Neodiprion lecontei: one gene and its partner. Each later gene encodes a partner of the first gene's protein in a complex. Links are inferred from orthologs where the notes say so. Each region holds a gene or a part of one and is shown in the gene's direction. Other genes may lie near its edges. The genes, in order: DNA topoisomerase 2-binding protein 1-B and Fanconi anemia group J protein.

Region 1 (4,900 bases):
GGAGCCCAACCCAAAAGGTTTTTAGTTGGATTACAAGATTTTACACGAGAATCTATTACATCCGGACGAAGATCATCAGGTAAATCCCAAAATAAATTTTCATTACAAACATTTTCTGTGTACTTAATATCAGCCTGTATGCGCAGAGCCGCAATTCCAGGGGCTGGAAAAGCTTCATAAGAGTGATGTGTATTGGCGTTTATTTTTCCAAATGTGTATTTGACTCCACCGATGGATTCATGGGTTGGTAATACTGGCAACTGAAACTGTCTCTCGCAATTGTCAACATCACGAAAATTTCCAATTCCCTTCAAATATGTTAGCAATGGCTTGGGTACGTGCCATGATTCGTTGTTTAGCTTGTACATTTCAGCCAGAAACTGATGTGATGTCCTCTGCATCGAATTAGGAAGAACCGCTGCAAACCGCATCCACAAATGAATGACAGCATAATATTGAAAAACTGATTCTGAGAAATTGGCAGAAAATTCTGGGTTTTCAGCGCACAGTGCAGCGTAAACGCGAGAGCACAACGATATGTAGCTGTCGGTTGTTATCGTAAAATATCGTGCTGTCTTCATTTCCGTTAACTTGATCTCAATCTCCGGAGTCTCAAAATCGAGAGGATCTTCCAATTGATCGTCCGCAGATGCCATGTTCCTTTGTCTTCGTCAGTGACTTTGTGGCTATTTCTTCAATGCTGGTGCTGTTTCTAGTACTTTCACTGATTTTTTTCTAATTGAAATAAACAATGTCACAATATTAAAAGAACAATCACTACTTTTAAATAGTTATTTCGCTATTCTACCACCTTCTTGTAGGACAGAAAATATCGTTTACGAGTACTACGATAAGAACTAAGCGTGGAATGAGCAAAGACGCGGGCTCACAATTGGCCAGGCTTCTCGTTTCCCTCCTATACCGCCACTCTGCAATGATGTGATCAAGTGTCGTAAGACTGATGGGATTCCCCCGGTTTTTTCCACGGCGCGAGAAGTTGTGTATTCCCCATAGACTTATCAAGATTTTCAGTCACGCCTTAACACAAAGCGATATCATTAGTTAAATTCGACTAATTCATTGCTTTATGCGTTGAGTAAAGCTGTTAAAGCAGTTACGTTAAAAGGATTTTGAGTGCTTGCGAATTGCGTGTTAACTTTCAGCGGTAAAAAATCGACCTGATCGCTAATATGGCTCCTTATGGCCCCAGGCACACTTACCCGCCGAGTACTGCTCACAGAAATTTGCTAACAATCCTTTTAGAAACGATTGTAAACGTTTCTAGACTAAGTATGAAAGGGGTAAGCGTCTTTTAATTTTTTAGCCAACGCTTCCTATGAGACTTAGAAAATTGTTCCGATTCCGTTCTGAAATCTAATACCGAGAGCGTTCTGGAAGTATGGTTTTCCTAGGACACTTTTCCCATTTTCCATGGGTGCGTTCCGAAATTAGCTCCCAGTGCTGTCAACAATCTTTTATCTCATTTGTGCTGTCGAGTTCAGGCACTGATCTGTGTTATATAGAGATCAGTGACCACGACCAAAAATTATTACAAAATCAAAAAACATTAGTCACGCGCATGCGTATTGCGACTCCATTTTACATTATCCATTTCACGAATGAAAATACTCTCCTGACACAACCGTCGTGAAACATCGTAAAATATCGTAAAGCAGCGACCGGGACGCGGGAAATGCCGTATACTAGTTATACCAATTGGCAGTTAGTTTATCCTGGTTTTTTAATTATTCACCGGGTTGGCACAGAGATTGTCATTATGAAATGACTTGACTTGACGGCAGATCAAGAATATAGATGTTTGTCTATTATGATTTAGCCATCGCTCTACATCACAATAATTGTTATTTATCATATTTTTATCTGGAGTTTGAGAATCGTTGTAGTTTTAGGAATATAACCTATTCTGCAGCCTTTTCTACGTTCAAAATTACAAACGCCGGACCATTTTCAATTCGAGTTATCATAAGTTTAATACACGAGAACTGGAACTTGGGTAATTTTTTCAATACATCAAAGACACAAGTATAAGTTTCCAGTAACTTGTCAATAATAATTTATGACTTACAAGTACTCGGATCTAAAATTTTAAAGGTAAGAACTCTTTGTTTTTCAAATCTTTTGTAACACATTTCTTACCTTCAATTCCACTTTCAGTAATAAGGCATGACACTCTGTATTTTATGGTCAACCCATGTTCAGTACAAAGTAATTATTGTCAATGGTAGATTTAACTATATGCCAATTTAGAGCAGAAATTCAATTTAGATCAAATTCTCATTACATTACAGTTGATTTGGATTTATGAAATACAGAATGACCAGCGAAGGAAGTCAGGTGGACTCCGATTTGAACATATATTTTGTCATAACGAGAGATCAGAAAGATGAGAACGATTGCTCAAGCGACATGTGGCATGCATTTAATGTAAGTATATCTGTTTAACCATACTAAAAATTTCATGGGTATTTGCTGACATTCAACCATAAATCACCTACTGCAGTTCAATGCAATTTGTGATTCTGAAGATTTAATTTTCTGCAAATAGTGCAAATAATTGATTTCACAGGATAAACTACAAAGTATAATCATATGCACGGTAAAATTTTATGCTCCAAGTTTTTTCTGATCACACTTTTATTTTATAGAGCTGCGACGAACACGAATTATCGCCAAAATGGATTAAAGAGAATTTATGCGACAACTTAGCACCAGGAAAGAAGGACGTGTTTGTATTGGAAGAATTTGAGGGGTCAACGTTCGCACATTTGAAAAAATTTAAATGCTCGTAAGAATTTAATACAGCTGTTGATTGTAGCAACATTTACAGTATTCATACCATTTACATTTCTAATCAGAAAATTGAATCTGCATGTCATGAATTTCTTACATTATACAATATTTCCTTCAAACAAACTCATTTCACTTATCATAATAAATCAGCACATAAATATCAAAGCTCGATGAAAACTCGGTTGAAAAATTACGTAAGCTGCTAGTAACAACTGATGGTTCATTATGTTTTAGCAGAATAGTTGGACCGCGATGTTTACTGAGCTGTTTCATGACCGGGGAACCAATTCCCGAAGGAACCAGCCCAGTATTCACAACTGCAATGAGAGGCCTGGTTGTCAGTGTGTCTGGTCTCACTTCAGAGGCAAAAGTACATATTATCTACGAATTATTTTCAAATTATAGAGGCAATTGCAAGTTGGTATGCAAACAACTGTGATGCTTGTATGATACTATCCTGTTCCGATGAAATAGCAATTGTTATATTGCGATCATTTAAAAATTACAAGGGTTCTTTATTGTATTGCCTTCAGTGAAAATTATTGTTCAAGTTTTATTGATCGTTTTGTGTTTTATAGAAAAACAGATAATTTTTTGCGTAAATATTGTCTTCTGTGTGCTCCTAAGCAAACAAAGACATTTAAACATATATATACTCACAGTTGACAAAAGGTAATTCAATCATCGATTATTCTGAGTCTGATTTTTTTGTTTTCAGGAAAATATAGGAAGGAAGGTAGAATACATGGGGGGTGTTTATTCGCGACAATTGCGAAACAGTGTCACACATTTGATTGCAAATTTTGTGATGTCTGAGAAGTACGAGGTCTGTATATTTATATATGGCTAAAAACATTAACAACGACTCTTACAAACACGAATTGTAGCAATTTTCGATATCATTTATACTTTTCTAGAAAGCTGTTGAACAAAAAATACCAGTCATGACTGAGAATTGGGTAACAGCAGTATGGGAAGCAAGTCTTGTGGAAAATATACGGGCTACGAGCAGTAGATTTGACGAATACAAGTGCCCTGTCTTCATGAATCTAGTTGTTACCTCAACCAATTTATCTAAGCGAAAAAAAGAGATTAAACAATTGATCACTGATAATGGTGGGGTAAGTATTAACATCCAATGTGTGATGTTTCTCATTGCCCAGAGCTTTGAGCGATCTACTTTTTCAACTATTATTTTTTTTTTTCCTCATCATTGACTATTTTCTACTATCTTCTCGAAAAGTTTACTTTATTAACTTTTTTGGATCCCGTTATTGAAATAAGTAATGGAATCTTAATTTTGAATGCGCTAACCAATGGTGAATCAGACTTATTCAAAAATTACATACAGAGTGTACATATCCTTAGTTTTCGGTTAGATAATGGAAACGCAAGGAAACTAGGGAAACTGTACCCAGTATGCAATTTTGCTGTAAGTTGAATTTGGTTATAAACAGAAGTTTGACTTGTGACAAATATTACATATATAGTTCATTTAATACAAAGTATATTTATGTGCATGTTGATGTTTAGTCCCATTTTAATTCTGTCCATTTTTTCAATGAGACAAAAAGCTAATATTTTACATAAATAATTTAAAACAGTTTTCAACTGCGTTTATTAATTTAGTGTGTATGATTTGTAGTCTAGAGATGTACTATTGGCATGAATTACTGCTTACGTTTACTAACTGCTTTCTATTACTTTGCTTTTTCTCTGTAACATTGACACTGGAAGTCTTTTATTGCCTGTAAATTAAATTTAATCATAACTGAGTATCATGTTAATTTTCAGATATTTATGGGAGCTTTAGATGGTGCCAAAGTAAAGATCGTTGTAGCCCCAGAAGATTCAGTGCTCAGTGAAAAGCTTAAGTATGCATTGCAAAATAACATTGCCTGCGTTACACCCCAATGGGTTCATCACAGTGTGAAGCACGGTTATGCCCTGCCGTTCTCAGACTACTTAGTAAAAACTACAAAAAAATGTTCAACGCCTGAGAAATCTAATGGTCTGTTGAAATTCTATCGTGAAATGAAGTTTAGAATATTCGTAATAATATTTAAGATATTGAAATAATGAAATGGCA
Region 2 (5,302 bases), on another chromosome or scaffold:
ACCACACCAATTACCTACCATTAATTCGCGTGTGAAGTATAATGTCAAACTGTAACAATGGTCTTGAATATATATATGTATATATATTTTTTTTATTGAACCAAGATGACGGACAAGAGACTTGCCTGTCCTGAGATCGGTTGAGGAGAACATAGCTCCCCATGAAATCTGTTTGCCCGATTGTGTCCCAATATTTCCATAGATTGAAAGCTAGTATTTTCCATTCTTTAAAAGTGTTGACAGTCGATTAACAAATCGCGTACCGAAATCGTTGGTATTATATTTGGACGATGATTGGGTAGGGAGGAATGAAGTGAGAATTGGGTGGCCGGATGGTTCGCCGTTGAAAAGAAGAAGAGAATAATTTGACAAACTGAATCATGTGGACCATAAACTCGGTGCATGTGATTTATAATCGAGCACTTTCTTCCAGGAGGGTGTAACACGAGCAATTTGACGCATTTCACAATAATGAAACCGAACCCCCTATTATACCCTAAACACAATCGTAGACTGGATACATTTTATGGGATAGAACGCCCGGCCCGCAGTCTATAGTTCGTACTTGTAATCCATGGCGATAGATGTACATAGGCGTATATCTATAGAAGGATATACATAACTTACGCCCCGTTACCTAAATTTAAAGATTGTTTTGCCCCTTGAATACAAAGTGTCATTGTACAGTATCGAAAACATCGAGCACTTCGTGGAGAAACTTCGAATTACACTGCGTTATACAACAGGCATATATACATATATTATGATATTCATATTACGTATGAATATTACGTTTGTGCTTCGGTAATATTCCAGTAAAGACGTAATACGGAGAATTTCAACAATTATTGCCACAACCCTTTGGAAACACAATTTCTTGTCGTCCGAATGGTTTTTCTTCTTGCTGATGTCATACTACAGATTTTTACATCCCCGAATTTAGGATATTTCAGGTTTTGAAATTCTGCTCTTTCGAATTTAGACGTAATACAAGAAAAATATAAATCTTTCTAATGTCTGGAAAAAACTTCAATTTTGAAATAGTTAATGTATTTTTATTTAAAAGTCAGATTTTGTTATTAACAGAATTTTAGAATCATATATCTGTATCTGAAATGAACGAAAGGTGTGTCAATTCTTATAAACAACTATCGCTTCTACACGATCTTATTTTGCTTTTAAGGGAGGTTCAAAACCATCTGTATAATACCTGTACATATTTATTTTTAGCCGATTCTAAAACATTTTTGTGCACAAAAATGATGTTGACGTTGCAATATTGCAAGTATTAAATTTTACAACTATAATTTGAAATTAAATTGTCTCTTTTTGCAGAGCTATTATACATATAATAAATATTATATAGTTGATCTCACACGTATTAAAGTAAAAAAAGCGAACAATGTTGTGAGATGACTCGCATTTAATAATTCTATTAAACGTAATATTAGCTTGGGAATCTTGAATGAAAAAATCTATTTTCAATTTAAACTTGAGTATACGATTGAAGCCTAGAATGGATCTATTAACGTAATCGTGAAACATATTTTCTGGCACGAGAATTCGATATTTTGATTTTTTCTTTTAAATCCGTATTAGATTATACTCAGATCATGTTAATCCTCGAAAAAATGTCGTACCACCGCGGTAGCTTCATTCGATGAAATATTAGAATCCAGTGATACCTATTATTTTCGAGAATTGTTTCTCAGTTCATAAAATATATAAACACATGAATGATGTAATAAATTCCTTTATTATTTTTAAACAAAAATTCCAAGTTTCAACTTAACGACGAATGCTATTAGATTCGTAATCCATCAAGGCATGTCTTGCGATTAATTCATAGGTTAAAAATAGGTTCAATTGAATCGTCCTATCGCCCCTAAATTTTGAGTTATATATGCGGGTAATAACACAAAAAAGAAATCACGAAAAACACTTGTCCGGTGGATTAGATCACATCTCGATATATCGTTGCAAATACTGAACCCGAATCCGTAGTCAGAATCGCTCCGTCACCCCAAATACTTCGGTGTTCAAATTATAGTGGAATACCCCATACACGACTCAAAATCTGTGTGTAACGGAACAATTCTGACCCCAGATTCGTATTCCTCATGTTTACACAAGTACGATCGTCTAGTCCGCCGAACAAGTCGCGTTATTCGCGTGCCTGTGCTACTCTCTTTCCGTTGCGTGGCGTTCGAAATTCGAAACTTGTCGTGTGTCCCGCGCCGAGTGTCGAGGAATCGATTCTCCCGAACGACGGTCGAACGTCGAAGCGTCGAGTGCCGAGCGAAAGTCGGCCCCGCTAAGCTCCGGCTATTTGTGTCCTCTAACCTCAATGTTTACCTTCGGCGTTCGCCGACAAACCAGCAGATAGGTCATCACCGGGCGATGATCATCGTTCTGGCAGCGATATTCATCATCGTCTGTGTCTACTCAGGATCCCTCGCCTTCGTAAGACGGCGCCTCGATCCTCCGTCACCGTGAGTATTCGCTAAAATCTTGACGTTTGAGGTTAGATTCGCACCCCGTATCGCTCCCCCCTATCTTATCTGTGTATATTATCGCTCCATCTCTCATCGTCATCGTCGCCACTCGTGGCCTTACGGCGAGCTTGCTGCTCGCATTATCAGCCCGTGTCACTCCGTTCCTCTCGTTTGGCCTTATCCGCGTGCATCAGTCAACGACACATCGAGTCGCGTGGTCGCGCGGAGTCAGAGAGACGCATGCGTAGCTTTATTTTGCTTCATATGTGTACGCCACGGATTTCTCCTGTACACGAGGTCGTGGCGTGTGTCATGGCAACGTCCACCTATTGGTGCTTACGTTTAACCGCGCATTCGTGGAACATTTTTGAACGAGGGCGGAGTAACGCTTGAAATCGTTAATTAAAATTCATTGTGTATTTGCTGTTTTGCATTCGCCATTTAGATCAGATTTGTACGTGCATTTTCAATTTTTTTTTATTCGATATTGTGTAAGATTTAGGTACTGCATTCAGCGTCGGTCACGTGTCGAATATCTCTGTTCAAATAGATCGTACAATTTTATAAAAATTTTCGAAAAAGAACGATTCCCTCTGATTCGACTAAATTATGTTGGAATTGCAAAATCTTCGTTTAATGTAACGAGCTCTGAAACTGTAATGTAATGTTTGCTTGTATCCTATCTGGAGCGTAGCGTAAGAAATTTCATGCACATACCACCGACAGTATTTGTTAAGCGCTGAATTAAATATGAATAATTTGAAAGCCGCAGAGTCCTGGTTGGTTAGTAGTAGAAAAACCCTGATAATAATATTTACAGTATACAATACCATTCGACATTTGATAATTCATTTCGCATACCTATTTTACAAATTTCATTTTAAGCTAGAATTGAAGTAAACATATCTATTTGTCCGTTTAAACGACATTTTTAGAAGCATTTTACGCTTCAATTTACCAATTATGAGTAATTAAATGTTATGTTATGGTCGATTTCCAGTCCAACGCATCGTTAGAATTGTTGACAATATTTTTCCTGTATTCATTCACCGTGAAATTACACACAGTTATTGAGGAGAAACCAAAATAGAATGATTTGAAAAATTAAAAAAGTCGTTAACGCGTAATTCAATCATTCAAAGAAAAAAAGAAAGGAAAAAAAAATAAGGTTGGAGTCAGTAAGGTTCACTTGAAAGAATATATTCAAATTGTAATATTTATTTAATATTTCGCTATTTTAGAGTAATTAATTCAGGAGATGTGTTTTCAAAATAGAATTATGCAATCTTTTATTACGGTTTTTGTAGTCAGCTGATACTTTTCTGATGGAATGACAATTTTTCCTAAAAATAAATTGTGCCATCAACGTTACGAACTTCAATGGCGTCAAAAAAAGGAATTACGAATTAGACTGACTTATGAGAATTATTTTCAAATCATGAAACACCTTCAAAAATATTTTTGATCCAAAAAGACTGTAATTTTGATTTAATATCTCTGACCACCCCTACTTTTTAACTCATTTTATTGAGATAAATTCAAATGCGTTTCTGGATCAAGATGCCGTAATATTTGGATATTTAAACACATTAATTGAGAGGAACAATATTGTTTGAAAAAATTTCAGCGGTCAGTAATTTGAGATGAATCCGGTTTCTCAGTAAATTTTTTTCACGCAGCGAAAGAGCGTTTTTGGGTGAAAAATACAGACTTTGTAAAGAATTCGTAGTTGAAAAACGAATAAATTTATTTATAAATGTTAGAAAAATGTGGAAAACAAGTGAGGAATAATACGCGATTCCATTATCACTTCGTGACTACTGGAACGAAATTAGTTGCCGCAATTAGTCGCGTAAGAAGAACAACGAAACGAACTTCCATTGCTTGGGGAATTCCGAAATGAAATTGAACCAACTTCTGACAGGTTAAAGCCCCAGTTTTTCCTTGTCAACCCTTTTTTCACTCCGTATTGCCTCAGATCGACATATGGCAAGCTACTCCGGTGTCAAATGTATCCTACAACTCGAATTCAGCAGTATCGAGCATGTGTGAAAGGGACAACTGCATGCGATGGAATTGCGGTGTAGAAATATAACGATCACTTTATGCACCTATATTCCATCGGAACTTGTCGTCTTGCGAGTGCACAGTGAAATATACGACACGCGGTGCAGTCCATTCAACGACGTTGTAAAGAAAAATGAGCCCGCGACACAGCTGGCAGAGGATGTAGCGTGTCGAGAAATGCCATGTGCAGCGCGAAACGCCGAAACGTTCGTCTCGATTATCGTCGTCTTAGAGTGTCTTCTTGTACATCTTCCTAATTTTTTTCATTTTCCTTACCTCCGCTTCCCGTGTACGTACGCGGCATTTGTCAAGTACTTACCCTAATTCATGTAGAAAAGGCTTTCCGCTGTTATTATAAAGCATCGCTCGTTTTCAGGTGCAGGACTTTTATTGCGACACCACACGAGACATCTTATATATTGTGCACTCTTTTTACTGTACCTATGAATGAAGATTTGAATCCAAGTTGAAGGTGGGAAAGAAATAACCTAGAATTTTATTTATGAAGATACTGCGGAGTTTTGTTCTTGGAGAAAATTTACAGCTTTGAAAATGCTCAATGAATCCGCCGGCGTGCTTGACGCGGAGCTTGCGTCATTAAAAATTTTAGAGTCGAGTCTAAGTTCTGTACTTGCGCACCTGTTACTCGACTTTCTTCCAAAGTTTCCAGAACTCCAGAAGTTTCTACTCCCTCGCGAAACCCTTTTACATATTCTTGTTTGTTTCGATTCCGCTACCTT

Evidence for each region.
Region 2: the proteins of DNA topoisomerase 2-binding protein 1-B (region 1) and Fanconi anemia group J protein are in contact, whole or in part, in a crystal structure (PDB 3AL3), measured with the Homo sapiens proteins. The link is inferred for Neodiprion lecontei from reciprocal best matches to the Homo sapiens genes TOPBP1 and BRIP1. Residues at the interface, in NP_008958.2 of Homo sapiens: Leu1272, Ser1273, Ser1274, Leu1275, Asn1276, Pro1277, Arg1280, Gln1298, His1311, Leu1313, Arg1314, Asn1315, Glu1316, Lys1317, Leu1319, Gln1366, Arg1407, Gly1410, Phe1411, Leu1414, Thr1466, Glu1467, Ile1469, Ala1470; in NP_114432.2 of Homo sapiens: Ser1129, Tyr1131, Phe1132, Thr1133, Pro1134, Glu1135, Leu1136, Tyr1137, Asp1138.

What each region holds. Positions count from the first base shown.
Region 1 is NC_060264.1:28,710,309-28,715,208, reverse strand, and holds the start of DNA topoisomerase 2-binding protein 1-B, read left to right. Parts: upstream 1-1,633; 5' UTR 1,634-2,112; intron 2,113-2,309; 5' UTR 2,310-2,322; coding exon 2,323-2,445; intron 2,446-2,666; coding exon 2,667-2,806; intron 2,807-3,045; coding exon 3,046-3,181; intron 3,182-3,529; coding exon 3,530-3,637; intron 3,638-3,728; coding exon 3,729-3,932; intron 3,933-4,605; coding exon 4,606-4,822; intron 4,823-4,900. Other genes in the region: uncharacterized protein LOC124294485, read right to left, coding at 1-656. UniProt on the Homo sapiens protein: Scaffold protein that acts as a key protein-protein adapter in DNA replication and DNA repair. Composed of multiple BRCT domains, which specifically recognize and bind phosphorylated proteins, bringing proteins together into functional combinations.
Region 2 is NC_060262.1:26,772,801-26,778,102, reverse strand, and holds the start of Fanconi anemia group J protein, read left to right. Parts: upstream 1-2,277; 5' UTR 2,278-2,400; coding exon 2,401-2,492; intron 2,493-5,302. UniProt on the Homo sapiens protein: DNA-dependent ATPase and 5'-3' DNA helicase required for the maintenance of chromosomal stability. Acts late in the Fanconi anemia pathway, after FANCD2 ubiquitination.